Linked DNA regions of Anolis sagrei. The protein of the gene in region 3 interacts with the protein of the main gene of each other region in a pairwise test. Links are inferred from orthologs where the notes say so. Each region holds a gene or a part of one and is shown on either strand. Other genes may lie near its edges.

The links.
Region 1: the proteins of STK16 (region 3) and KCTD14 interact in binary tests that used the Homo sapiens proteins (3 or more experiments, as listed by UniProt). The link is inferred for Anolis sagrei from reciprocal best matches to the Homo sapiens genes STK16 and KCTD14.
Region 2: the proteins of STK16 (region 3) and TRIM42 interact in binary tests that used the Homo sapiens proteins (3 or more experiments, as listed by UniProt). The two-hybrid records come from large-scale screens. The link is inferred for Anolis sagrei from reciprocal best matches to the Homo sapiens genes STK16 and TRIM42.
Region 4: the proteins of STK16 (region 3) and MIIP interact in binary tests that used the Homo sapiens proteins (3 or more experiments, as listed by UniProt). The two-hybrid records come from large-scale screens. The link is inferred for Anolis sagrei from reciprocal best matches to the Homo sapiens genes STK16 and MIIP.

Annotation. Positions count from the first base shown.
Region 1 is NC_090023.1:10,031,029-10,038,302, forward strand, and holds the start of KCTD14 (BTB/POZ domain-containing protein KCTD14), read right to left. Parts: upstream 3,017-7,274; 5' UTR 2,579-3,016; coding exon 2,519-2,578; intron 1-2,518.
Region 2 is NC_090023.1:230,542,902-230,550,487, reverse strand, and holds the start of TRIM42 (tripartite motif-containing protein 42), read right to left. Parts: upstream 3,017-7,586; coding exon 2,634-3,016; intron 1-2,633.
Region 3 is NC_090021.1:230,318,249-230,325,569, reverse strand, and holds the start of STK16 (serine/threonine-protein kinase 16), read right to left. Parts: upstream 3,018-7,321; 5' UTR 2,926-3,017; intron 2,859-2,925; exon of another isoform or gene 2,690-2,858; intron 222-2,689; exon of another isoform or gene 1-221. UniProt on the Homo sapiens protein: Membrane-associated protein kinase that phosphorylates on serine and threonine residues. In vitro substrates include DRG1, ENO1 and EIF4EBP1. Also autophosphorylates. May be involved in secretory vesicle trafficking or intracellular signaling.
Region 4 is NC_090033.1:7,882,060-7,889,647, forward strand, and holds the start of MIIP (migration and invasion-inhibitory protein), read left to right. Parts: upstream 1-4,575; 5' UTR 4,576-4,649; intron 4,650-6,929; 5' UTR 6,930-6,936; coding exon 6,937-7,047; intron 7,048-7,588. Other genes in the region: SDHB (succinate dehydrogenase [ubiquinone] iron-sulfur subunit, mitochondrial), read right to left, coding at 2,124-2,260.

The DNA.
Region 1 (7,274 bases), on a different chromosome or scaffold from region 3:
GCATCCCCTGGGCAACGTCCTTGCAGACGGCCAGTTCTCTCACACCAGAAGCAACTTGCGGTTTCTAAAGTTGTTCCAGACATGGAAAAAAATAGCTACTTTGACAGATTCCTTTGCCATTGATTTAATTTACTGTTTTGTCACTCGAAGACTGGTGGATTGTTTTCTCTCCAGGATCAAAATGTCTCACGACAAAGCTGGGAAAAGAGAGGGGAGGAGAGAGGTTAACCTGGAGGAGGTGAGGAATCTCTGTTTATATTACAGGTGTTGGCATGTCATGACATATACATATGATTGATTATGGCACACGCCCAAATGTTGTTCATTATATACACATAGAATATATACTGTAGATACTTGAGTGTATGCCTAGTTTTTCAGCCTTTTTTAAGGCTGAAAAAGCCCCCCTCGTCTTATCCTCGAGTCAAAGTTATTTATTATTTTAGTCTGTTATTATTATTATTATTATTACATTTACATTATTTTATCCTATTATTATTATTATGACATTTATTATTTTACTCTATCATTGTTATTATTACATTTACATTATTTTACTCTATTTATTATTATTATGTTTACATTATTTTATCCTATTATTATTATTACTACTACATTTATTATTTTACTCTATTATTGTTCTTATTACATTTACATTATTTTATCCTATTATTATTATTATTACATTTATTATTTTACTCTATTATTGTTCTTATTACATTTACATTATTTTACTCTATTATTATTATTACACTTACATTATTTTATCCTATTATTGTTACATTTATTATTTTACTCTATTATTATTATTACACTTACATTATTTTATCCTATTATTACATTTATTATTTTACTCTATTATTGTCATTATTACATTTACATCATTTTATTCTATTATTTTATTGCATTTATTATTTTACTCTATTTATTATTATTACATTTACATTATTTTATCCTATAATTATTACATTTATTATTTTACTCTATTATTGTCATTATTACATTTACATCTGGGGGATCGCAAGGGGGTGTCAGATGGGTCACCAAAGACAATCAGAAAACATAGTATTTTCTGTTGGTCATAGGGGTTCTGTATGAGAATCTGATCAAATTCTGTCATTGGTGGGGTTCAGAATGTTCTTTGATTGTAGGTGAACTATAAATCTCAGCAACTACAACTCCCAAATGTCAAGGCCTATTTTCCCCAAACTCCACCAGTGTTCACATTTGGGCATATTGAGTGTTCGTGTAGAGTTTGGTCCAGATCCATCATTGTTTGAGTCCAGAGTGATTTCTGGCTGTAGGTGAACTGCAACTCCAAAATTCAAGGTCAGTGCCCACCCAAACCCTTCCAGTATTTTCTGTTCGTCGTGGAAGTTCTGTGTCCAAGTTTGGTTCAATTCCATCATTGGTGGAGTTCAGAATGCTTTTTTTAATTGTAGGTGAACTATAAATCCCAGCAATGACAACTCCCAAATGTCAAGGTCTATTTTCCCCAAACTACACCAGTGTTCATGTTTGGGCATATTGAGTATTTATGCCAAATTTGGTCCGTATCCATCATTGTTTGAGTCCACAGTGCTCTGTGGCTGTAGGTGAACTACAACTCCAAAATTCAAGGTCAATGCCCACCAAACCCTTCCAGTATTTTCTGTTCATTGTGGAAGTTCAGTGTGCCAAGTTTGGTTCAATTCCATCATTGGTGGAACTCAGAATGCTTTTTTGATTGTAAGTGAACTATAAATCCCAGCAACGACAACTCCCAAATGTCAAGGTCTATTTCCCCTAAACTCTACCAGTGTTCACATTTGAGCATATTGAGTATTTATGCCAAATTTGGTCCGTATCCATCTTTGTTTGAGTCCACAGTGCTCTATGTTCCATTGGTCATGGGAGTTCTGTGTGCCAAGTTTGGTTCAGTTCCATCATTGGTGGAGTTCAGAATGCTTTTTTGGTTGTAGGCAAACTATAAATCCCAGCAACGACAACTCCCAAATGTCAAGGTCTATTTTCCCTAAACTCCACCAGTGTTCACATTTGAGCATATTCAGTATTAGTATTTATGCCAAATTTGGTCCGTATCCATCATTGTTTGAGTCCACAGTGCTCTATGTTCTATTGGTCATGGGAGTTCTGTGTGCCAAGTCTGGTCCAATTCCACCATTGTTGGAGTTCAGAATGCTTTTTTGATTGTAGGTGAACTGTAAATCCCAGCAACTACAGCTCCTCCCCCCAAATTTGGGCATATTTTGTCCAGTGAATGAAAATACATCCTGCATATCAGATATTGACATTACGATTCATAACAGTAGCAAAATTACAGTTACGAAGTAGCAACGGAAATAATGTTATGGTTGGGGGTCACCACAACATGAGGAACTGTATTAAGGGGTCGCAGCATTAGGAAGCACTGTTGTAGTGTCTCACTCTTTGCAATGGAAGGAACTTTCTTATGTGGGGCATCAAATTTAGGGGTGCAATTTAACTCTCTTCTAAACCCTTGTCTTTTCTCACTCACCGTTTGGAGACTGTTTACATTTTGTTTTGGGAAGGATTTGGGTTCCGAGGAAATGCTCATCCTTCCTTCTGCCCCTCCAGGAAGACGGCCAGAGAAATCCACAGGTGTGTAGGCAAGACAGGTGCAGAGACTTATTTCTTGTTTCTCTCTCTGTAATCTCTCTCTATCAGAACCTGGTAGTAACTCATACACTTGCAGTGGTGTCTGTCCCGCTGCCACTCCGCAGCCACAGGTTACAAGTGCATTGGAGAGTCTGCAGGCGGAAGTATTTGTCACTCTTCTGGCAACGAGCCTTTTTGGAGAGCGAAGGCATTCATGCGCCAGGAAGGAAAGTAGCCGTCCAGCATTCTCACTGCTCCTTCTCTCCCACCTTCCTGACACACAAACACACACATTAGTCAGCTGTGACTAATAGCCAGGTCAAGAAATCAGTTCCTCCCATTCTCGACCCCTCCGAAGACACACAACTCAACTCGGTTGGCATCGCCTAAAGCACCACCTTTGTGTGAGTGTCATTTGCTGAACCGGTTACACCCTCATTCCAGGGCTTAATACCCAGCCTGACTTCTGCCCTTTTATTTTAAAGAAACAGTATGTTTACTTGGGGGGAAAGGTCGCAATTTAGTGGAATTATGGAGCAGAAGGGATTATCCCAGGCATGGCCCAAGGGTGTATCTGTACTATATAGCAGTTTGATGCTGCTTTAACTGATGAAGCGGACAACCCAGGAAATCCAGGAATCAATCTTCAGGAAGGGAGGACTTTTATTTGATTATTCCACCGCTGCCACCCATTAATATGTGGCAAACACTGATTAATGCGTAGCGTGGCGTGGCTGAGTATTTTTATATTATACCTATTAGCTGTACCCACCACGCATTGCTGTGGCCAAGCTTCCCTCCCTCTTTCTCTCCTTTCTTTCTTTCTTTCTTTCTTTCTTTCTTTCTTTCTTTCTTTCTCTCCTTCCTTCCCTTTTTTTTCTTACCCTTCCCTCTTTTCCTTCTTCTTCCTTCCTTCTCTGTTTCTTTCTTCGCTTACTTTCCTCTTTGGTTCCATCCTTCCTTGTCTCTTTTCTTCCTTCCCTCTTTCTTCCTCTCTTTCGTTCCTTCTCTCCTTCCTTCCCCCTCTCTTTCCTTCCTTCTTTCACTTTTTATTTACTTTTGCCCTTCCTTCCTTCTCTACCTTTCTCTCTTTCCTTTCTTCTCTCTTTCCCTCCTTCTCTTTCCTTCCAATTCTGGGCACCACAGTTCAAGAGAGATATTGACAAGCTGGAATGTGTCCAGAGGAGGGTGATTAAAATGATCAAGGGTCTGGAGAACAAGCCCTATGAGGAGCGGCTTAGGGAACTGGGCATGTTTAGCCTGAAGAAGAGAAGGCTGAGAGGAGACGTGATTGCCATGTATAAATATGTGAGAGGAAGCCACAGGGAGGAGGGAGCAAGCTTGTTTTCTGCTTCCCTGGAGACTAGGGCACGAAACAATGGCTTCAAACTACAAGAGAGGAGATTCCATCTGAACATGAGGAAGAACTTCCTGACTGTGAGAGCCGTTCAGCAGTGGAACTCTCTGCCCCGGAGTGTGGTGGAGGCTCCTTCTTTGGAAGCATTTAAACAGAGGCTGGATGGCCATCTGTCAGGGGTGATTTGAATGCAATATTCCTGCTTCTTGGCAGGGGGTTGGACTGGATGGCCCATGAGGTCTCTTCCAACTCTTTGATTCTATGATTCTTTCACTCTTTCTCTTCCTCCTCTCCTTCCTTCCTTCCCCCTTTCTGTGTATATGTGTTTTGTGTGTGCATATATGTGTGTTTATATTTGTGGATATGTGTATATATGTGTGTTTGTGTATATATGTGCTTTTGGGCATGAGTTGTAATGTATTTTTTTTGGTTTTTTGGCTTTAAAAGTCTCTTTTGCTGTGTTTTTCAATGTTTTTATGAGTGATGGTCACTCGTTGGCCTAATAAGCGTATTGTGTCCATCCAGCCTCTGTTTAGAAGCCTTCATAGACAAAGCCTCCACTACACTTTGGGACAGAGAGTTCCACTGCTGAACAGCTCTCACAGTCAGAAAGTTCTTCTTAATGTTCAGGTAGAATCTCCTTTCCTGCAGTTTGAAGCCATTGTTTATATATGGCCCTCATCATGTCTCCTCTCAGCCTTCTCTTCTTCAAGCTAAACATACCAACTCTTTAAGCCACTCCTCATAGGGTTTGTTCTCCAGACCCTTGATCATTTTAGTCGCCCTCCTCTGGACACATTCCAGCTTGTCAACATCTCTCTTCAATTGTGGTGCCCAGAATTGGACACAGGATTCCAGGTGTGGTCTAACCAAGGCAGAATAGAGCATGGGGAGCATGACCTCCCTAGATCGAGATACTAGACTCCTATTGGTGCAGGCCAAAATCCCATTGGCTTTTTTTAGCTGCAGCAACACATTGTTGGCTCATGTTTAACTTGTTGTCCACAAGGATTTCTTTTTCACATGTCCCCCAGCCTCTGTTTCAAGGAAGACCCCACCAGACTCCCAAGGAAACATATTCCATTGTCAAAAAAGTTCTTACTATCAAGACAGTATTGGGAATTGTAGTTCAACAAGGTCTTCAGCCATCTCTGGCAAAGTGCTGCTGTCACACAAAACTAAAACTCCCAGGATGCCATAGCAGTGAGCCCTGAGAGTTCAAGTGGTGTCAAACTGATTTAATTCTACAGTGTAGATGCACACTAGGAGGACAATAGAAATGGCTGGCCCATGACGCATCCAAAGGTGATAACCAAGGTGGAGTACTTTTGGAACACATTCTGAAGCTTTGTTTGCCAAGGCTGGTCACCATTCTATGAATCTGATACCACTCCTTTCCATAATGGAGGGAAACACCCTGGATTCCTGACTTTTTATTGCCATAGAAAAATCTCAGTGGCGAACCTTGTTCCAGAGCCAAGGGGAAAATGTGCCATACCTGTCAATCAGAAAAGTGACTATGGACCTGTAAACAAACTTGGGCCCCCTGGTTGCACAGTGGGTTAAACCACTGAGCTGCTGAACCTCCTGATTGAAAGGTCAGTGCTTCAAATCGGGGGAGTGGGGTAAGCTCCTGCTGTTAGCCCCAGCATCTGCCAACCTAGCAGTTCAAAAACATGCAAATGTGAGTAGATCAATAGGTACCACTTCGGAGGGAAGGTACCTATGTGCATGGAGTCATGCTGGCCACATGACCTTGGAGGTGTCTACGGACAATGCCAGCTTAGTAATGGAGATGAGCACCACCCTCCAGAGTCGGACACGACTGGACTTAATGTCAAGGGGAAACCTTTACCTTTATTTTAACAAACTTATTATCAAGCGGCAATCTCAATCACACTTCTCCCCATAGTCTATGCGTGCATCTACATCAGGTGTGATGACATGCCCGAGCCTTTGGGAAAACTATATCGTCTGGCTTTACTTGTTAGCTATCTGATACCTTCTGTTAAAATTAAGACCCTTAGAAGACAGACACACTTTGAGGCAAGGTGAAAAGATAACCAAATGAGTTTACTGAAACAAGATGAGTAAAGGGTTAACTCCACTCAGGACTAGCATAAGGTAAGTTAAAACAATACATTACAAAAGGGGATTTTGCTGGTTGCAGCCATCTTTCTGGAATCTTTGAAAGTCTTTTGCCTCTGGCGCAAAGCGATGGTTATAAACTGTCTCAATCTTCTTCCTTATGAAACTTAGGCTGGCCAAAAGCTTCTGTTGTCCTGTGGACAGATGGTGTAAAAATACTGCTAAATGCAGGTGCTAAGGATGCCTGTTTTTGGATTGCTTGGCCTAGGATTACTAGACAATGCCCCAAGTCTCTAGTGACTGTAGAAAAGGGAGGAGCCCAGCAAGAGAGCTCTATACAGGGAAATGGAATAGACTAACTAAGGCTGGCTTCTGGGGGGTGTTATGCTCCACCCAAAACTAATACAAAGGAAGGTGTCTACACTATTAGGAAATTCTATGAACAGGGGAAACTGAAGCAAAGGAGAGGAAAAGGCAGTTTTGGACTTCAACTCCCACAATTCCTAACAGCCTACTGGCTATTAGGAATTATGGGAGTTGAGGTCCCATATACCTGGAGGCAGGGGCAGCTCAACCCATTACGCAAAGTAAGCATTTGCAGTATAGTTTGTTTTGTCCAGGGGCGCTCTTGAGGTGCTCTTGGGGGAAAATAGACCTTGACATATGTGAGTTGTAGTTACTGGGATGTATAGTTCACCTACAACCAAAGAGCATTCTGAACTCCACCAAGGATGGAATTGAACCAAATATGGCACAGAGAACTCCCACAACGAACAGAAAATATATATCAGTGATTGGTTGGTTGGGGCGCCAAAATACTGTTTGCTTACCATTGAAAATTACCTAGGGCCGCCTTTGCCTGGAGGGCTGAAGTTTGCCCATGCCTGATCTACACTGTAGAATCGATGGAATTTGACACTACTTTGACTACCATAACTTAGTGCTACGGAATCGTGAGAGCTGTAGTTTGGTGAGGGACCAGCATTCTTTGGAAGAGAATGCTAAATACCTTGCAAAACTACAACTCCCATGACTCCATAGCATTGAGCTGGGGTAGCTAAAGTGATGCCAAACTGCATCAGTTCTTCACCGTAGATATCGATGTACTCTGAATGAGGAGAAACCTGTACTAACTTTTATAGCAATAGGTTCGGATGACCCTCCGTATCCACGGGTTCCGTATCCACAGGTTCTGTATCCATGGGTTCAA
Region 2 (7,586 bases), on a different chromosome or scaffold from region 3:
ACAGAGAAAAATACCATACAAGTTTTCAGAACAGAATTATTTTTTAAAAGTCAAATTATTGGTGAATGAAGGAGATAGTTTTCTTTACTAGTTGTACAAGTAAAAACTGGTCTAGAATATGACTTCTTAAACTGTGGATCACAACCCCAAATAAGATCCCTTTAACTCAATGTTGGTGTCGTCAAAAACTGGCAACAGTAATAATTTTCTGACTGCCATTTAGTTACTGTTTTAGAAATTTACACAAATTTGTCCAGCATTTACAATGGACTCTACATAAGATGCTTCATTAAAAACTGTTTAAAGGTAAAGGTTTTCCCCTGACATTAAGTCCAATGCTCATCTCCATTTCTAAACTGAAGAGCCAGCATTATCTGTAGACACCTCCTAGGTCATGTGGCCGGCATGACTGCATGGAGCACTGTTACTTTCCCACCGGAGCGGTACCTATTGATCTACTCACATTTGCATGTTTTTGAACTGCTAGGTTGGCAGAAGCTGGGGCTAACAGTGGAAGCTCATGCTGCTCCCCAGATTCAAACCTGTGACCTTTTGTCAGCGAGTTCAGCACCTCAGTGCTTTAACTCACTGCACCACCAGGGGCAGCAAGCCTTAAAAATGCCTCTAGAACATGGCCATATAGCCTGAAAAAACCTACAACAACCCACTTAAAAATGATGTTGTGTTATCCATATATGTTTGATATTTTTACCTATTTTATATACTTATATACCCAGGATCATGTAAAATTGTCTTGGGCCAAAAGGGGTCCGAAGTTGAAAAATTTAATAATAGCAACAATAAAAATATCTTTATTTATATCCCACCCCATCTCCCCAAAGAAGTCCTAGTCTAGAGTTCATATATCAGCTGTAGAACATAGAAAAATTACTTGGTTGAATGGTGAATCCCTGAGCTAGTATGGAGATGCGGGGAGCTTCCATCCAATGCAGTAACTTTTCCAAGCTTTGATGAGGTCAGAGCTTGTCAACAATATGATGAAGCTGTTATTGATATAAATGGGTTTGGTCCTGGACCAACAGATCCCAAATAACATAAAATCTGACTTGTTTATTGTGCATTGTGTGAGTTAATAAAAAAATAGATAGGGGAACTCTAAAAAATGGAGGTTAACTTTGACCTGTGGAGTTCAGGTAATACCTACAACTAATTTCTCAAGCAGAGAAAGAGGGTTAACATTAAGTTGCCTAAAGCATCCAGTAAGTTGAAATGAAATGGGCTTAGGTTTCCATCTTTTAAGTACTATTCAGCACTGCCACTGGCAACTGTTCTTAAGTCTTGGTTTGCCATGGTTTAAAACTGAGAATTGTAAAAAGTGGGTTAAACCAAGTAATCTATTTTCTAAAAGTGAATGGAGACAGTAATAAAGGATCATATCAAGCACTTCACTACAAAATAGGTTTTGCTGAATAAACCTGATTACTGTCTTCATGAACTGGGAAGGCAGAAAAATCCCTCTTCAAAAGTTTCCTTCAGTTAAAAGTTGTGTGGATTTTTTTTTAAAAAATATAAAACATCCATGACTGGGATCAGGATTATTGAATTTTATAATCTTATCATTCACTCACATCTCATTTTATGTAAGTGGCCCTCAATTTCACTAATATATTTTTAATTTTGACATTGATTTTGAATATGTATATTTGTTAGCAAAGTGTAGCCTCCCCAACATCCAATTTTATGAAAAACAGTGTGTGTGCTTTACATCTTGGTCCTGTCCTCTCCTTATCATTCTTTCCATGTATAGAAGCAATTAGCATTTCTTTAATCCTGGGGCATTCTGGGATTTAGAGCTCAAAAAGCTGACTATCCCATTCCCAGGCTCTGAATGTATACTAAATCCTTCTGAAGAAGTTATTTTGTCCATGCTCATATGTAAATTCCATTTTGCATGCTGTATGCCTCAAGTTCAGTCCACAGCAACTCCAGATTGGTTTTGATTTCAAATCGAATGCCTAATGATGGTAAAGACTCAGAGGTGTAACAAAATGACTCTGTGCGTATGCAAAATTGAGACATTGCCTCCCACTAAGAATTCTGCCCCTTCATGAAAATTTCCACTGTAGTTGTGTGTGCACTGGACCATGACTCTGAAGACTGGAGATCAATTTCCCTCTTAGCCATAGAAACTCACTGAGTGGCTTTGGATGAGCCAGACACTCAATCTCAAAAAAAGTTGATAAGTTAACTTTAGGTCACCATAAGACAAAAATGACTTGAAGGCACAACAAAATAAATTCCAGCCATGCAATAAGTTAGACACTGAAATTGTTTGAGCCTAGAATCCTTATATTTGCTGTGTTTGCATTCCCTGGTTAACTTTGGCTGCCCCTTTCCTTTGAATGCCTAAACTCCATTACTAAATACTGAACTAAAGTTTTAATTACCAATACTAGAAGTTTGAAAACTGAAGGAATTTTTATGGAGGGAGCAATGCCTTCACACACACACACACACACACACACACCTCACTCCAAAAGGTCATTTACTTGAAACATTTGAGATGTGCTGTCAGTCAGATAGTCATTACTGGGGTTGATGGAGTAACACCCTGATGTAAGTGTACAAGTACAGGACTGTGATCCTTAACATTTTAGTTTTACAACACTTACCTTTTCAGTTTATGTTTACGCCTATATGGCAAATAGGAGAGATAACTGCAGCATCTACTGTCATAACACTGACACTCAGTATTTGCATCTGTACAGCACAAACACTTGCAATTTCGATTAGTAGAACAGGAGCAACAGCAACAGCGGCAATTCGGATTCTCCGAGCATGAACAGTGGCAGCACTGGCACCTTGAATCTTCACGATGTGGGCAAAAACAGCAGTCCCACTGCCGCTCATCACTAAATAAGAACAGCCAACAAGAGCAGCATCTGCCAGAGGTTATATTATTCACAAAGTCTCGAAACTTGATGCAGAATCCACAACATTTACAACCTGGGCAACATGGGCATGTCCAGCAACATGCACAGCTCATGGCAGTCATGGTCTTCCCAGATATTTAAGGTTTCCCTTTTTTTAGTCCTAGAAAGCTTTACTTGCTGTTTATGTTTGCAGAGCAACTGCCCCATACTTTATTTTGGACCTCTGGAGAAAATACTGATCACTTGGGAAGAAAATGTGGCATCACAATGGGTTTTACCAATGAAAGCAGTGTCATAATGTATGTCATAATGACTAAAGCACTTGAGATTCCTGCACTGATATGTTCATATGACTAAACTGCACAAGAAATAATGCAATGAGGATCATTGTATTACTCTGATAAAAATTGCACTTTCTCTGGTCAACAGGATGATGTCAGCATGGAATCTTAAAATGACATGATTTATGTAAATACATTAATTTTGGCTATCATTTGATTTAGTATTCTCTATTGTTTTGCCAATGTTTTGTTATTATAAAAGAAACAGAAATATTAGAGCTATAAATACTCTACTTCTGAGCCAATCAGAAATTAAAGTAAAGTCATGATTCTGAGGATGAGGGCATGTTCATTCTGGGTAACAGTGCATGTGATCACTAGACTGAGAGACAAAATATCACATTTACTGGAAACATTAAAATACAATAAGAACTCAGTATTGTATTGCTGCTCTAACTATTTCTTATGTGCCAACACAATGTCTCCTCTTGTCTTACAAAATACATGTCTAGGCAATCTCAATTGTCTACGCTGGCTCCACAGAGTCGTCTTTGGATACTTACAGTGGGTTACAGTTATTGTTTTGGGTGAAAACTGGATTGATTAACATTTCTTTTTCTTTATAACTGATACTGATATAATGAATTATATTTCTCTGGCTACCAGGCATAAGACATTATCAGTCATTCCAACCAAAAAGACAGTCTTTGTGAGTGCTTCAGGAATTGCTGCATAATACTACTGCATTTAACATGCAACTGATATTTCCGTTACAGATGCTACTCATAAACTGGTTTGTGAGCTTCTGATGAGATCATTTGGTAATTAGAGCTGGGTTTCTGGGTGTTGTCTGAATTATTTCTGAACAATATACAAGTATCAAATTAATACTAAAAGACTGGAAAATATGTCCATCTAGCAGGACTTCTAGGAAACAATAACCCATGGAAATTAAGAGACTAAAGTGGACTAAAAGGCTCCATTTTCTATATTTTCATCTGTGAAGACTAAGGTTACTACCCCTGATAGTATCCCTGAAATCTCAGGTCCAGAACCTGAGAGTTACTGATGACATCATGTTGATGTCACAGGACACAGGGACTGGTGATATCATTATGCATGATATATCAAGCATCAACAGCAGTAGAAGAACAGAACATGCAATTCATTTTGAAAAATGGTCTAACAAATGAAGAAAATACAAACACACACCTGTTTAACCCCAAGATTCCTTCCCCTCAATCTCATATCTAGAAAAGAGTCGCCGAATTAGGCTGAAAAATGCGGTATAAAAATAAAGCAAATAAATAAATAAATAAATAAAGAGTAAATAAGCTTTAAGATATGGAAACCCTAATAAGGTCACCTAGCTATTGCTTCCAAGCTTTCTAGAATAGAAGCTGTCTTCTTGCAGTGTGGATCTGAGGAATACCTTTAGTACATGCATTAATTAACTTTACCAATGGCATCTGAAAACAAAGTACAGGTTAAAAATATAATAACAGAGCAAACTAAAACACTGTTTAAAAACCTTATTCTCTCTTATTTTGGGGCCATGGGCCTATTAACAGTTGAGTGAGACTTTGTGTTAAATTTTATTGGCTGAATCATCTTTAGGGCTAGATTTATGCTGCTCTGTATCCCAGGATCTGAACCCAAGTTATATGATTTGAACTGGATTATATGAATCTACACTGCCAGATAATCTGGGATAAGCAGATAATCAGGGATCTGATTATGCTAATATAATGCTATTTTTGTTCCCATGCCTAGCAATAGAACGAAGCAATTGCTTACCATCAAACAGTGATGGGGGGAGCACATTTTCCTAATGTCATCCAGCAAAGATTTGAAAAGAAATTTGGGGTCTACTATGATGCTTGCAAGATAGGATATTTGGAAATATGCTGGAACCCAGGATTTGGGAGAGGTTTCTAACCTATCATTGTTCATATTTTATGATCTAGGAAGGTACTATAATTACTTTTTTTAATGTCAGGAGCAACTTGAGAAACTGCAAGTAACTTCTGGTGTGAGAGAATTGGCTGCCTGCAAGGATGTCGCCCAATGGACATCCAGATGTTTTGCCATCCTGTGGGAGGCTCCTCTCATGTCCCTGCATGAGAAGCTGGAGTTACAGATAGGAGCTCACCCCACTCCCCAGATTCAAACCACCAACCTTTCAGTCAGCAGTTCTGCCGGCTCAAGGTTTAACCCATTGCACCACCAGGGCTCCACTATAATTACTGAATATTGATCAATTGACTTGTCCTGAAGATTTATTGATCCTATTTTGTTGAATGTGAACGAAGCAATTTTTGCAGAACACAGGGCAGGCTAATTATCTTCCAGCTGTTTTGACCCAAGCTGCTTAGAAACCAGCTTATTGCTGCTGCCTCACAGCCTCTCTCATCTGAGGTAACTCTCTGTAGAGCCAGTCCTGATTTTGAATTCAAATGTTCTCAGATTGAATCCTTGACATTTCCAACTGAAGGAGAGAATGGTGCAAATAACCTAATCTCCTGAAAGCATTTGGAGCCACTGCCAGGGAAAATAAGCCATTTTTGTTCTGAGCCTAAATCTAAAAGGACAAAGTCAATAATTGATTTCCCACTTATCCCCAAGATACAGATAAAAGTTCACATGGGAAAAATGTGTTTGTTGTGTGCCTTCATGTCATTTGTAGCTTATGGCAACCATAAAATGAAGCCAATGGGTTTCCATGACCATGCAGGGATGTGCATTCTTGTCTCCAGAATCATAGTCCAATGCTTAAACAATTACACAATTCTGGATCTCAGGGAAAAATTGATGAAATATTTTGAGAAAGAACACTGCTTAAATTGTAGGGTTTTTTCCCCCAAACATATGACATTATCCCATTTTGTTTCACATTTTTCATTTTTTGCTCCTAAAAATATATTTTCGCTTATCTTATTTTGTCTTTTCTGAGAGATAGATTATGGGGAACTATTTTGGATAGGCAATAAAATAATCTGACCTGGAATCAAGCAGTTTCCCATGGATTGTTTATGGTGGTTCCATACATAAAGCAACTATCAAGATTTTCTGGCAAACTAGGCAGCAAATTACATCCATCCTCCTTTCTGTAAGCTTTGAGTACCACTAATTAAAAATGAACACTAGAATCCTAACTGATCAACTTAAGAATAAACTTATAGAACCTATCTTGTGTATATATGGCTGGAGTTACACTTACAATATGTACCTGTTCTGACTTACATACAAATTCAACTTAAGAATAAACTATCTTGTTTGTAACTTGAGTCTATCTTGTTTGTAACTTGAGGACTGCCTGTATCTAGCTACATTACAGGGATCTTAAGAAATCCCTTTATTGAATAGGAAATATGTCTAACAGGACACCAATAAGAGTGTATCTGTGGTGCCCAATGTGCATAGAGACTGATGCAATGTGTGCTGGGATATGCAATCCACATCCCATTGTGCATAATCTCATTGCACATCCATTACTTTGCTCATTCTATTACATAGTAACATAACATCTGTTCACTCTATTTCATTGTAACAAAACAGCAGCTTTGGATGATGATGATGATGATGATGATGATGATGATGATGATGATGATGATGATGATAGATTTCAGAACAGTTCAGTATTAATTCCCACAGATGTAACTCCACTTATAAAAATGGAAGGTCCCAACAGGCTTCTGGCTGAAAGCTTTTGAATGTGAGGTTGATGGATCCATGCAATTTTTCACATATCCCTAAAGAGTCAGGAGATTACCCCACCTTAGCCCACTAGGATTACGACATCACAGCCTTTGTGAACAAATATGGTCCTTTAATATAAGGACAGTGACAGCAAAATTTTCTGGCAAACTAAGCAGAAAAAATATATCCATTCTCATCAGAGATTATATTAAGTTTGGATACCACTAATTAAAAATAAATACCAGAATCCTAAATGACCTGTTAAGTTATGTAACTTTATATGTCAGCCAGTGCCATTTTAATTCTTTCTCTCTTTTTTGGCAATTAGTAAGTGTTGTTTAAGTACTGGTATGCTGGTTGTCTTCTTCAATCTTGAATCTTGAAAATATTCTCAAAGCTTTATCACATTCTGGAAGTTCATGGGGTGTGATAATTCTGAACATGCCTACCTGATATGTATGTACAAGAGATTCATCCATTCATAATCAGCATAAATGGAGTATGGAAGCTTTATTTGACTTTGTGCATTGCCATTAGTAGCTATCTATCATCTCCACATTTATATTTTTACAAATTATATGTTCACATGAGGCACTCATAGCCAATAGGCTTTTGTTTCAAAAGATATCTTTTTGTTTGCATAGTATTTCTATTAAGTTTTTTATCTCTTTCCTTTGGAAAAATGGGGCAAGACAAAAAATTGAGTTCTGGC
Region 3 (7,321 bases):
CAAAACAAACATTACAGGGGTGTTAACTCTTTCCTATGTATCCAAATCATATACACATACATATTTGGCTGGAGTTATAAATTCAACTTAAGAACAAACCTACAGAACCTATCTGGTTTGTAACTTGGGGAACTGCGTGTATATGTATACAGGGATGAGACAATAGGAAGTGTATATGAAGTTCCTAGAACCATAAGTAAAGGTAAAGGTTTCCCCTGACATTAAGTCTAGTCATGTCCAACTCGGGGGGGGGGAGGGTTGCTCATCTCAATTTCTCAGCCAAAGAACTGAGGTTGTCCGTAGACACCTCCAAGATCATGTGGCCAGCATGACTGTATGGATGCCGTTACCTCCCTGCAGAAGCAGTAGCTATTGATCTACTCACATTTTTATGTTTTTGAACTGCTAGGTTGGCAGAAGATGAGCCTAACAGTGGGAGCTGACCCCGCTTTGAACCACCCTTTCGGTCAGCAAGTTCACATCTCAGCTGTTTAACCCGCTGCGCCACCCGGGTTAAAAAATTAACACTTAATAACTCATTCTTGAAAAGGAGACAATTATGAGAGATCATTATGAAATAAATGGAAAGCACTCTACAAACAGAATCATTTGATGCCTGCATGCCAACCCCTTGGCATGCAGGCATCAAAGCACTCTCGACAAATGGCCATCCAGCTTCTGCTTAAAAACCTCCAGCAAAGGAGACTCAACCACACTCTGAGGCAGCATACTCCACTGCCATACAGCGTTTACCATCAGGAAGTTCTTTCTAAAGTTTAGGTAGAATCTCTTTTCCTGCAATTTGAATCCATTGCTCTTTGTCCTATTTTCCAGAAGATAAGCCTGCTCTCTCTTTCTAATGACATCCTTTCAAATATTTAAACATGGCCATCATGTCCCCTTTCAGCGTTCTCTTCTCCAAGCTAAACACCCCCCGCTTCTCATAGGGTTTGGTTTCCAAACGTTTGATCATTTCAGTTGCCCTTCTTAAACACGTTCCAGCTTGCCAATATCTTTCTTGAATTGTGGTGCCCATACAGTAAATGGACACAGTATTCCAGGTGAGATCTGACCAAAGCAGAATAGAGTGGGACTATGACTTCCCTCGAGCTTGACACTACTGATACAGCCTAAAATCACATTGGCTCTTTTAGCTGCTGCATAACACTGCTGACTGTTGCTTGTAGTTCCTCTGAGACTCCAACATCCCTTCCACATGGACTGATGTCAAGCCAAGTGTCACTTCTCCTATATCTGTGAATTCAATTTTATTGCCTAAATGTAGTACCTCACATTTGATCCTGTCGAAATTCATTGGGTTGCATTGAGCCCTGCTCCCAACCTGCTAAGGGGTGCATCTACACTGTAGAATACTTCAGGAAATAAAGCCTGACTGTTCATTGGAGGGAAGGATATTAGAGGCAAAAATGAAGTACTTTGGCCACATAATGAGAAGACAGGAAAGCTTGGAGAAGACAATGATGTTGGGGAAAATGGAAGGAAAAAGGAAGAGGGGCAAACCAAGGGCAAGATGGATGGATGGTATCCTTGAAGTAATTGGCTAGACTCTGAAGGAGCTTGGGGTGACCACGGCAGACAGGGAGATCTGGCGTGGGCTGGTCGATGAGGTCACAAAGAGTTGGAAGCAATTAAACAAATAAACAATAACAACAACACTGTAGAATGAATGCGGTTTGGACTGCTGTGGTTCAGAGCTATGAAATCATTTATTTATTTATTTATTTATTTACATTATTTCTATCCTGCCCATTTCAGTCCATTTCAGGGCGGTACTCATGGTAGTTGGAGCCCCAGTGGCGCAATGGGTTAAACCAGGGGTCCTCAAACTAAGTCCCGAGGACTGGATACGGCCCTCCAAGGTCATTTACCCGGCCCTTGTTCAGTGTCAACCTAAGACTGAAACAACTTGAAAGCACACAACAACAACAGCAACATCAATCCTATCTCATCAGCCAAAAGCAGGCCCACACTTCCCATTGAAATACTAATAAGTTTGTAATTGTTAAAATTGTTCTTCATTTTAAATACCATATTGTTTTAAGTGTTTTATTTTTATTTATTTTTTGCACTACAAATAAGATATGCACAGTGTGGATAGGAATTCATTCATGCTTTTTTTCAAATTATAATCTGGCCCTCCAACAATTTGAGCGACTGTGACCTGGCCCTTTGTTTAAAATGTTTGAGGACCCTTGGGTTAAACCATTGTGCTGGCAGGACTGAAGACCAACAGGTAGGAGGTTCAAATCTGGAGAGAGAGCACAGATGAGCTCCCTCTGTCAGCTCCAGCTCCCCGTGTGGGGACAAGAGAGAAGCCTCCCATAAGGATGGTAAAACAGCAAAAACATCCAGGCGTCCCCTGGGCAACAGCCTTTGTTGTTGTTGTTCATTCGTTCAGTCGTCTCCGACTCTTCGGGCAACAGCCTTGCTGACAGCCAATTCTCTCATACCAGAAGCGACTTGCAGTTTCTCAAGTCGCTCCTGATACGGAAAAAAAAATGGTAGCTGTAGTTTAACAAAGCCTTTATCAGCCTTCTCTTTCCAAGAGGGCTGGTACCCTCACCAATACAACCCCTAGGATTCCACAAAACCGAGCCATGGCAGTTAAAGCAGTGCAAAGCCGGGTTAATTCTGCAGTGTGAATGCACCCCCATTCCCTTTCGCACACCCTGCTGCCATGTCAGGTGTCACCCATCCTATTGCTGGCTCAGAGGAAGTGGGAAGAAAGAACCTCCTCCTGCTCTGGAAACCCCGAGGCCTTTTCCCCTGGCCCTCCGGCGCCCTAGAGGCAGGAAGTACGGAAGGCCCATCTGTAGCCTTTCCCGAAGCCCCGCCCCCTGGCAAGGCCCGGCGGGAGGGAGGGAGGGAGAGAAAGAGCGGGCGGGCGGGCCGCCATCCACTCACCGGGTCCAGTCCAGCGCGCGGAGGATGCCTACGCACGCAGCGTGCGACGCCAGCCACACATTCTGCCCGGCCACGTCATTATCCTGCGCCTTCTGCGCTGCTGCCTGCCTGCCTGGCAGAGGTTGCCTAGCAACTGTTCTCGAGGGTGGGGAGGCGGAGGAAGAGAGAGTGAGGGGACAGGCAAGGAGTGAGCTCAGCTCATTCTGGTCCCGTGCATTTCTTCACATTCAGAAGTCTTTTATCACACCAGTGGTAAAAGACTTCTGCACAGCATTATCGTTGTATGTGGTGCTTTGCACCTAAAAGAACCCCTAAGCATTTTCCAGCTTTCAGAGTCACAATTTAAGAGGACACCTATACTGTGGAATGTATGCAGTCTGACACCACTTGAAAGGCCCTGGCTCAATTCTATAGAATCGTGGGAATTGTAGTTTTACAAGACTTCAGTCCTTCTCTGCCAAAGAGTGCTGGAGCCTCATCAAACTACAGCTCCCATGATTCCCTAGCATTTTATTTATTTATTTGACTTGTATACCGCCACTCCCAATTTGGCTCGGAGCGGTTTACAGAAGTAGATTAAAACAATACAACCAACTTTAAAATACAATAAAAACGAGAACCGACTTAGTCCTGAGTTATTCACCCATCGAAAGCTTGTTGGAAAAGAAAGGTCTTACAGGCTTTCTGAAAAGCAAGTAGCTCTTGGGTGGTTCGGGTTTCAACTGGCAAGGCATTCCATAAATAAGGGGCCACAACCGAGATGGCTCTCTGCCTAGTAGAGGACAGATGATAAGTCCAGATGTTGGGGACTTCAAGCAAATTTTGGTCCTCGGACCAAAGTAATCTCTGGGGTTGGTAGGGGGTTAAGCATTGAGCCAGGGCAGTTCAAGTGTGTCCACTGCATTAGTTCTACGGTGTAGACGCACCCTAATTTTACGTGGATTTCAGCTTCTGCAAGAGCCAAAGGTTCGGGACTTGGTGTGTCAAGCTTCCCGGAAGGCCGGATGAGACACAGATGGATCGAAGGCAAAATGAAAGGCATTATTCTCAGTGGCCTCAATGACGTCATCGCTGGTTGGTCTTCGTTGTGGCGGAAACTTTAATAAACTGATAACACTGAAATCAAACAATTTAAAGCAACTGTGTATAGCGAAACCTGTAATGTGCATACCAAGTCCCAGTAAGTGGATACTGGTACTGGATGTAGGCCGCTTCTGGATCCCTGTGCCTGGCAAGACAAAGAAGCTATTCCAATGTCCCAAATAAATCAAACCAAGTTGAAGAAGAAGCTACTGAGGGATTTTATTCAAATCAGTTGAAATGATGCCAGCTCACGGTAGTCCGCCAAAGTATGCTGAGATGCCATACAGTTCAAAACATACATTTTTATAGACAGAAACCCTTTGAAATTCCCGCTCCTGCCCCAGCTGGAACTGGCCCCGCCATGATTGGCTAAGCTCCATGGACATCATGAACAGCTGAGGGAGGATTCCCTGCAGAGGCAGGGCTGCATCTCTTGCATCTCTTGCCAGCCAATGGGAGAACATTCCCCGGTTCCAATGCAGATTCTCATTCCCCAATGGCTGACAAGGGGCAGGCTAGTTCAGGAGACAAAGTACAGTTGGATGAATAACTTTTGTCGCATTGAGGGACAGAACAAAGAGAGGCTATCAAGTCCATGCATTCTATGGAATGTCTTTGTGTTTCTGAGTGACCCAATCAAGTTGGGCCCAGCATCCGCAGTGCTCATGTCCATTGTATTTCCTGCAGAGTATTGTCCAACAAGGCATGACTTTTCAATTGTTGGGATGTCATGCCAGGTGATGAGTGTCTTTGTCCAAGTAGCTGCACAAAGGACAGGCGGCCCATACCTTGGATTCCTGTTGTCCTCTGCACAGCTGGAGTTATGGGGCCAGTAGAGATGGACTGGCCCGAAGATGATGGGTGATTGAATCCTTAATTATTAATATGATGCCCATGAAAATTGCTGGAGGGGATTTCCTGGATCATGAGGTGCTGGAGAATGGTCACCAGAAGGTCTTGATTGGTGGTTTCATATCAAAAAATGTTTTTATTCATAAAAATATAAAATGTACACATTAAATGGGAAAAATAGGGGTCCATGGATACTGGGGACTCCTACCGAGGGAACCAGGGCACCCACAGGAGTGGGGGAGTTGGCAAAGTGGTTGACGGACATGAGGGGGGTGGTTAGTGTGGGGGAGAGTGAGAGAATAAGCCCATTTCTGAGGGCCATGTGGCCCAAGTGGCCACCAGGCCGGCTGCAGAGGGTGAAGACAGGAGAAAAAGATACTCAGGAGGCAAGGAAGATGCATGGAGACAGACATAGAGGATAACACACTTTGTGGCACATTTATTTAGGGTTAGAAAGCAATATAACTAAGCAAATGGGGAAAGTGTTCTAAAAGTTTCCTGGGTGTTGATAGCTGCTGCAGGGCTCTTCCAGACCCTCAATCACCCGCAAAAAGGAATATTGCCAAATAAAAGATCCTTGTTAGCTGTAGCTTGTCCCTGCCGTAGACCCAGTAAAACAATATAATTTGACCCGGGGGGGGGGGGGGTGGTCCATGCTCAACAACAATGGTATGACTGACACAAAACAAAATAAGGGACAACTGATCAGCAGATACTGTCTCCATCTTCTGAGGCCACATCCGTGGCAGTTAGGATGGAGTGAGGGCCTTTTATCTGCTGGGCCCAGGCATGGTGGAAGTAAAAAAATAAAGTTCCAAGTAAATGCTCTTTGGCAGCCAGTGCAGTGTTGTGGTTTGGGTGTTGGACTATGAGTCTGGAGATCAGGTTTAAATCCCGTCTTGGCCATGGAAACCTCTTGGGTGACCTTAGATGAGGCACTCTTTCAGCCACAGAAAAACCCATAATGGACTCAACATAGGGTTGTCATAAGCCGGAAGAGACTTGAAAGCACACAATAACAACAAAGGCACTTTGGTGTGTAGTCTCAGCCACAAAAACTGACGGATACCTTAGTAGCTATCCACGTTCAGTCTCATTTACCTCAGATGGGTGAGGTGAAGTTAATCACAAAGCCATTATGGATACATCCTCAGAATCATACTGTATTTAAAACAATTAGCATCCTTGCCTTCTCTCAGGGAACTTGATATGCACATCATCTTGCTGCACTTTCCATTTTATTCTTACAAAAAAAAAACCCTGTGCAGTTTGTCTCTAGAGCTATCAATTTATTTTCTGTCTGTGTCAGGAATTGGAGGCAGGTTTCACCTCTGAAATTTAAGCACTGAAGACACCAAAAAGAAAAAAAGAAGTTGACAAGCATTATGGAAACTGATGATTAATACTAATATTTTTCACTTCTCTAATATGATTATTATGGCGAATTATTCAAATACCGACCAAGTAAACCCCCCTATGCTGAGAATTTGACCATTTTTAATCAACACCATACAGTGAGGCTGGCAAGGTCCATATTGTGCAGAAGATTCTTTCCTATTGTGAGATGGCGCAGAATGCAGTGATGCCAATGATGGTGTGGTCTTGGCATGGTGCACGCTGCACAGAGATCACCTTGAGCTGAAGCAAAGGGTTCCTGTTGCTGAATGGGCACAGTGACTATACAAGGCCACAGATAAGTTGCTGAAGGTTGGATAAAACTAATTTGGGTGTGCATCAAAATACGAATTTTTCAAAGGGCAAAAAAGAGAATGAATATGTACAATTAAATAGTGAAACTGTAACATAATTACAGTGTAGCAATTACATGTATCAAGTACTTAAATGAAACTATATCCAGTCTTAAAAATGTCTGTTTGAGCATCACGTTTTGCCAAGTTTTCTAATTCTGTGACGATAATATGGACATAGCTTGCTTGGAATTGGTTCAAAAAACTAACAAATCCATGTGTTAATTTAAAATTGTTTTAAAATTTGTTTTTATTGTGCTACAACTGGATTTTTAACCTGTTTATTTACTAGCTTTAGTGCCTGGTGATGACTGGATTAGGTAATTTGTAATGCTAGTTATTAGAATTTAGGAATGGTCCCATTCGAAAGTGCATAAACTACCACTTCATCATCCCTGGTCCATCTCCCCTAAATAGCATCAATTAAAATTGGTCAGGATGAGTATGTATGCCAAGTTCGTTCTAGAGAGCCATTATTGGTGAGGTTCACAGTGTTCTTTGATTGTGGGAGACCTGCAACTCCAATTGTCTTAGGTCCAACCCCACCCCCAAACACCAGCAGTAAAGTTGGTCATGATGGCATGTGTGCCAAGTTTGGTCAGTTACCATCATTGGTGGGGGTCACAGTCATCTCTGGATGTAGACAGACTACAACTTGTTTTGTCCTGGGTCACCCCCCCCCCCCCCCACAATTCCCTCCCATGGGGCATTTG
Region 4 (7,588 bases), on a different chromosome or scaffold from region 3:
TCCATTCCATTCAATTCGTCCATGTTTGTCGTCGGATCTTCCTTTAGCTGCCAGCATGTCCAAAAGCTTGGTCCCATATCCAGGTCTTCAGTTTTTTCCTGAACGTCTGAAGGGAGGTCGCTGATCTAATTTCCCCGGGGAGTGAGTTCCACAGGTGAGGGGCCACCACTGAGAAGGCCCTGCTCCTCGTCCCCGCCAACCTCACTTGTGACAGTGGCGGAGTCGAGAGCAGGGCCTCCCCGGATGATCTTAAATTTCGAGATGGGATGTAGAGGGAGATCCGTTCGGACAAATACACTGGGCCGGAACCATATAGGGTTTTGTAGGTTAAAACCAGCACTTTGAATTATGCTCGGAATTGGATCGGCAGCCCGTGGAACTGATGTAACAGGGGGGTGGTGTGCTCCCTGTACGTCGCTCCGGTGAGCAATCTGGTTGCTTCTCACTGGACTAGTTGTAGTTTCCGAGCAGTCTTCAAAGGCAACCCCACGTAGAGTGCGTTGCAGTAATCCAACCGGGATGTGACAAGAGCGTGGACCACCGTGGCCAGATCCGACTTCCCAAGGTACGGGCGCAGCTGGCGCACAAGTTTTAATTGTGCAAAAGCTCTCCCGGCCACCGCCGAGACCTGGGGTTCCAGGCTCAGCGATGAGTCCAGGATCACTCCCAAGCTGCGAACCTGCGTCTTCAGGGGGAGTGTAACCCCGTCTAACACAGGCTGTAACCCTATTCCCTGTTCGGCCTTACGACTGACCAGTAGGACCTCTGTCTTGTCTGGATTCAATTTCAATTTGAGTTGCCCCTGGGCTGAGAACAGCAGTCTATAAGCACAGTAAATAAATATTTATTTATTTATTTATTTATTTATTTGCTGCATTTATTAACCGCCGTTCTCAGCCCTAGGGTGACTCACGGCGGTGTACAACATATAAAAGACAATTTACAATAAAGCCAAGACGACAAAAAACCAACATATCACTAACGCACAATCATCTAATTATACTAAAAATAATCCGCTCCATCTTATCGTGGAATCATAACCAATCTCGTAGTCCATATACCGTTCCAGTTGTCATTCCAGTTACTGTAGCACTCAGTTAAATGCCTTCTCGAATAGCCATGTCTTCAGGCTCTTAAGGAAGGACATAAGGGAGGGCGCCTGTCTGATGTCAACAGGGAGGGTGTTCCACAGCCGGGGGGCCACCACCGAGAAGGCCCTCTCTCTCGTCCCCGCCAGACGTGCCTGTGAAGCAGGCGGGATCGAGAGAAGGGCCTCCCCAGACGATCTCAAAGTCCTCGTGGGCTCATAGGCCGAGATGCGGTCCGAAAGGTATTTTGGGCCGGAACCGTTTAGGGCTTTGTAGGATAACACCAGCACCTTAAATTGGGCCCGGTAGCAGATCGGCAGCCAGTGGAGCTGGAACAACAAGGGCGTTGTATGCTCCCTGCGTCCCGCTCCAGTTAGTAACATGGCTGCCGCGCGCTGGACTAGCTGAAGCTTCCGGGCCGTCTTCAAGGGCAGCCCCACGTAGAGAGCGTTGCAGTAGTCGAGGCAGGATGTGACCAGAGCGTGCACCACCGTGGCCAAGTCAGACTTCCCAAGGTACGGGCGCAGCTGGCGCACGAGCCTAAGCTGTGCAAATGCTCCCCTGGTCACCGCTGAAACCTGGGGATCCAGGCTCAACGATGAATCCAGGATCACACCCAAGCTGCGAACCTGCGCCTTCAAGGGGAGTGCGACCCCATCCAACACAGGCTGTAACCCTATGCCCTGTTCGGCCTTGCGACTGACCAGGAGTACCTCTGTCTTGTCTGGATTTAATTTCAGTTTGTATAATTTAATAATTTAAATTAATTTAATAATTTAATTTAATAATGTATAATTGTATAATTTCAGTTTGTCTTGTAATAAGCAAGAATAGCTCACTGGCCAGCTTGATTGGCGCTGAATGGCCTCGCAGCTTCAAAGCCTGGCTGCTTCCTGCCTGGGGGAAACGTCAGGAGAGGGTCAAGCAGCCCGGAAGACGCATATGACAACTCAAGGCCTACTCAAAGCACTCAAGTTGGTCAGGGAGTCAGGCGGTGCGCGCCTCTTTTCGGGCCCTCCCGCTGCGAGGACTCACTTGTTGAGGTCAACCTCGTAGGTCTGCATCCGGGGCTTCTCTCCGCGCTTGTCCGGGTCCCACCGGTACACCGCGAACCGCTTGATCCGCGCCGCCGTCGCCGCGCTCGCCCTCACCGCCGCGGTCACCGCCGCCATCTTGTCCTTTCCTTCTCTCCGGAAGGGTCCGTGGTAACCACTTCCGGTAAGGGCGGGGAAGGAGAAAAAGGGAGCACGCGTCCTAGAAAAGGCGGCCATCTTGGAAAGGGCCGTTCCTCAGTCCGCAACTATATAGAACTTCAGCCGGCGGCCATCTTGGGTAGGGCCCTTCTCAGTCCGCAGCTATATTGAACTTCAGCCGGCGGCCATCTTGGGAAGGGCACTTCTCAGTCCGCAGCTGTATTGAACTTCAGCCGGCGGCCATCTTGGGAAGGGCCCTTCTCAGTCCGCAGCTATATTGAACTTCAGCCGGCGGCCATCTTGGGAAGGGCCCTTCTCAGTCCGCAGCTATATTGAACTTCAGCCGGCGTCCATCTTGGGAAGGGCCCTTCTCAGTCCGCAGCTATATTGAACTTCAGCCGGCGGCCATCTTGGGAAGGGCCCTTCTCAGTCCGCAGCTATATTGAACTTCAGCCGGCGGCCATCTTGGGAAGGGGCAAGAAGCCTCAGCTGGCGGCCATCTTGGGTTCTCCCTCCCTTCGCTCCCAGGCTTCTCTAGGGAGGGAATCCCAAAGGTCATCCAGTCCAGCCCCCCCAAAAAGAGAAATAATAACAAAAAGTATTATCATATTATTATATTATATATAATTATATATTATATATTATTATATTAAATGATAATATATATAGATAGATAGATAGATATTATCATTATGCTCTTAACACTATTAGTACTTTTGTTCTATAATAGTAGGAAAAATTTAATATTATTAATCATATTAATGTTATATTATAATAATATTAGTATATTATATGTATTATTAATAATAGTATTATTACATTATATTTATTATCAATAATAACATCAGTATATTATATTTATTATTAATATTAACAATAATATTAGTATTAATCATATTAGTATTATATTATAGCAGTATAATAATATTAGTATATTATATGTATTATTAAAAATAGTATTATTACAGAAGAACAGAAGAAGAAGAAGAAGAAGAAGAAGAATTATCAATAATAACATCAGTATATGATATTTAATATTAACAATAATATTAGTATATATATTTATAAATATTATCAATTATATTAATATAATATAAGTATTAATACTATTAATATATTAGTATATTATAGTTATTAATAATGTTATTAATAATATTGGTATAATATAAATATTAATAATATTAGTATATTATATTTATTAGTAATGTTATTGTGAGTCGCCTTCGGGCTTGAGATACAGCGGTATATAAGCAAAGTAAATAAATAAAATATAAATATTAATAATATTAGTATATTCTATTTATTAATAATGCTATTAATAATATTGGTGACTCACGGCGGTTCACAAACAGTAAAAACAGTAGAAACAGCAGTGGTTCCATACAACATATAACAATTGACTTAACACATTATCCATAAATTACCAATAAGCAATTACAATGCACAATTATTACAAAAAACAACCGTACCCAATCTTCTCATCATCCAAGTGTAGTCCAGATTCGTCGTCCATTGTTCCATTCCTATGTTCCATTACCAGATTGCACTAAATTACTCAAACGCCTGCACAAACATCCAGGTCTTCACCTTTTTGCGGAATACCATTAGAGATGGTGCTAGTCTAATGTCCGTAGGAAGGGCGTTCCACAGCCGAGGAGCCACCACCGAGAAGGCCCTATCTCTCGTCCCCGCCAGCCGAGCTTGAGAAGCAGGTGGGATCGAGAGCAGGGTCTCCCCGGAAGATCTCAAAGTCCTGGTGGGTTCATAGGCAGAGATGCGGTCAGATAGGTAGCTTGGGCCGGAACCGTTTAGGGCTTTAAAGGCCAACGCCAGCACTTTGAATTCAGCCCGGTAGCAGATCGGTAGCCAGTGGAGTTGGCGCAACAGGGGGGTTGTATGCTCCCTGTGCTCCGCTCCTGTTAAAATCATGGCTGCCGAGCGTTGGACTAGTTGGAGCTTCCGAGCTGTCTTCAAAGGCAACCCCACGTAGAGAGCGTTGCAGTAGTCTAAACGGGATGTAACCAGAGCGTGGACTACCGTGGCCAAGTCAGACTTCCCAAGGTACGGGCGCAGCTGGCGCACAAGCTTTAGCTGTGCAAATGCTCCCCTGGTCACCGCCGAGACCTGAATGTTATTAATGATTAATAACATTAGTTATGTTATGGTGTAGATATTATTCTATTTCCATTACTACCATATTGTCCTATAAGGCACCCCACGTGGGCAAGGAAAGAGGTTGCGGCCCCTTTAAGAGGCGTGGAATGTGAAAAGGAAACCTCAGGCGGGAACTAGCCAATCAGGGCGCGAGGCGTTGCTTACGTCACAGGGAAACCAACGTTCAAGTCCTGGGCTTCTGTTGTGCTTTCAGGTTTGCATTGAAACACTCCTTATTGCTATTTATATTCCTATTCCACTCTTCCAACTATTATATGTACAGGCACAAATATATTTAATTTAAATATCCATTTGTTTTATGTTGCTGTGTGTCTAATTTATATATAGCTTGGGGACCCGGGTTGGTCTTTATCAGTTATTTATATGGCTCACAGTGGTCTCAGGAAGTTAGTGAAGGTACAGCGAGTCCCATCATCCATTGTCCATCCTCCTCCAAACTGCACCAGGATATAGAGTGGGTCATGGGGACTCTGTGTGCCAAGTTTGGTCTTGATCAGTCATTGGATGAGGGTCAAAGTGGTCTCAGAAAGTGAGTTAAGGTACTTAAAGTCCCATCATCCATAGTCTGTTTTCCCCCAAACCTCACCAGAATGTTGAGTTGGGCATGGGGGCTCTCTGTGTCAAGTTTGGTCTTTATTGGTATTTGGATGAGGGTTGTTGTGGTTTCAGGAAGTGAGTGAAGGTACTGCAAGTCCCATCATCCATCGTCCATCCTTCAAACAGCACCGGGATGCAGGGTGGGTCATGGGGGCTGTGTGTGCCAAGTTTGGTCTTGATCGGTCATTAGATGTGGGTTGCAGTGGAGTGGAGGTACTTTAAGTCCCATCATCCATGGTCTGTCCTCCAAACTGCACCAGGGTGTACAGTGGGTCATTGGGGTTCTGTGTGCCAAGTTTGGTCTTGATCGGTCATTAGATGTGGGTTGCAGTGGAGTGGAGGTACTTTAAGTCCCATCATCCATGGTCTGTCCTCCAAACTGCACTAGGGTGTACAGTGGGTCATTGGGGTTCTGTGTGCCAAGTTTGGTCTTGATCGGTCATTAATGAGGGTTATAGTATCCTTGGGAAGTGAGTGGAGGTACTTGAAGTTCCATCATCCATGGTCTGTCCTCCTCAAAAGTGTGTGCCAAGTTTGGTCTTGATTAGTCATTGGCGAGGGTCTCAGAAAATGAGTGAGGTTACTGCAAATCCCATCATCCATCTCCATTTTTTTCCAAATGACACCAGGACATAAAGTGCGTCATGAGAGGTCTATGTGCCAAGTTTGGTCTTGATCAGTCATTGGATGAGGTTTGCAGAGGTCTCAGAATGTGAGTGAAGGGACTTCAAGTCCCATCATCCATGGTATGCCCTACTCCAAACCGCAGTGGGATGTAGAGTGGGTCATGGGGGCTCTGTGTGCCAAGTTTGGATTTGATCGGACATTAGATGAGGGTTGCAGCAGTCTTGGGAAGGGAGTGGAGGTACTTGAAGTCCTATCATCCATGGTCTGTCCTCCTTGAAAGTGCACCAGGATGTAGAGTGGGTCATGGGGACACTATGTGCCAAGTTTGGTCTTGATCAGTCATTGGCGAGGATCTCAGTGGTCTCAGGAAGTGAGTGAAGTGACTGCAAGTCCCATCATCCATTGTCAAATTCTTCCAAACCGCGCCAGGATGTAGAGTGGGTCATGCGGGTTCTCTGTGTAAATTGTGGTCCTGATCCATCATTGTTGGCAGTTGTAATGGTCTTAGGAAGGGAGTGCAGGTATTGCAACTCCCATCGTCCATGGTGCATCCTCCTTTAAACTGCACCAGGATGTAGAGTGTGTCATGGAGACTCAGTGTGCCAAGTTTGGTCTTTATCGGTAATTGGATGAGGGTTGCAGTGGTCTCAGGAATTGAGCAAAGGTACTGCAAGTCCCATAATCCATGGTCCACCAAACCACACCGGGACGTAAAGTGGGTCATGAGAGGTCTATGTGCCAAGTTTGGTCCTGATCAGTCATTGGATGAGGTTAACAGCGGTCTCAGAATGTGAGTGATGGGACTGCAAGTCCCATCATCCATGGTTCATCCTCCTCCAAACTGCAGTAGGATGTCGAGTGGGTCTTGCGGGCTCTGTGTGCCAAGTTTGGTCTGTAGTGGTAATTTTCTGACTCCGCCCCTCTCTTTGTCATCTCGGAATCTTGGAATTGGGGCTGGCCAATCAGAGACCATATGCAAATTTCCTTCTCATGTCCCCGTTTCTTTTCTCCACCAGGGGCTCCTATTGAAGCTGGCCAATCAGAGACCATATGCAAATAGCACCACAGCGGCAGCCAATCAGAACGCTGGCACATACTCCTCCCACCACACTTTTGTCCTCCGCATACAAACTTTGACTTTTATTATATAGATAGATAGATATATATATAAATATAGATAATAGTAACCAACTTACTTAATCAATAATAATAATAATAATAATAATAATAATCTTACTATTTCTGGAAGCCGGAAGATGGACTTGGAGAAGCTTCGCCTCTTGAACCAGGATCTCTTGCAGAAGCTGAAAGCGAACCAAGAAGCCTTAGGGAAGCGAGTCCCATCGTCCACAACCCTGCAGAAGGAGGTATGATAGGAAGGGGACCCCAAAGGTCCTCCAGTCCGATCATAGGGTTGGAAGGGTCCCCAAGGCTCATCTAGTCCAATCGTAGAGATGGGACCTCCAAAGATCATCTAGTCCGATCATAGCGTTGGAAGGGACCCCTAAGGTCATCTAGTCCGATCATAGAGGTGGAAGGTGACCCCAAAGATCATCTAGTCTGATTACAGCAGTGGAAGGGAACCCCAATGGTCATCTAGTCAAATTGTAGGGCTGGAAGGGACCCCCAAAGGTCATCTACTCTGAGTACAGAGATGAAAGTGACCCCAAAACTCATCTAGTCCAATCTTGGGGTTGGAAGGGACCCCAAAAGTCATCTAGCCCTATCTTAGAGATGGAAGGGACCTGTAAAGGTCATCTAGTCCAATCATGGGGTTATAAGGGAACCTGAAGGCCATCTTGTCCAATTCTAGAGATGGTAGGGATCTCCAAAGGTCATCTAGTCCAGTCATACAGATAGAAGTGACCCCAAAGATCATCTAGTTTGATCATGGAAGGGGACCCCAAA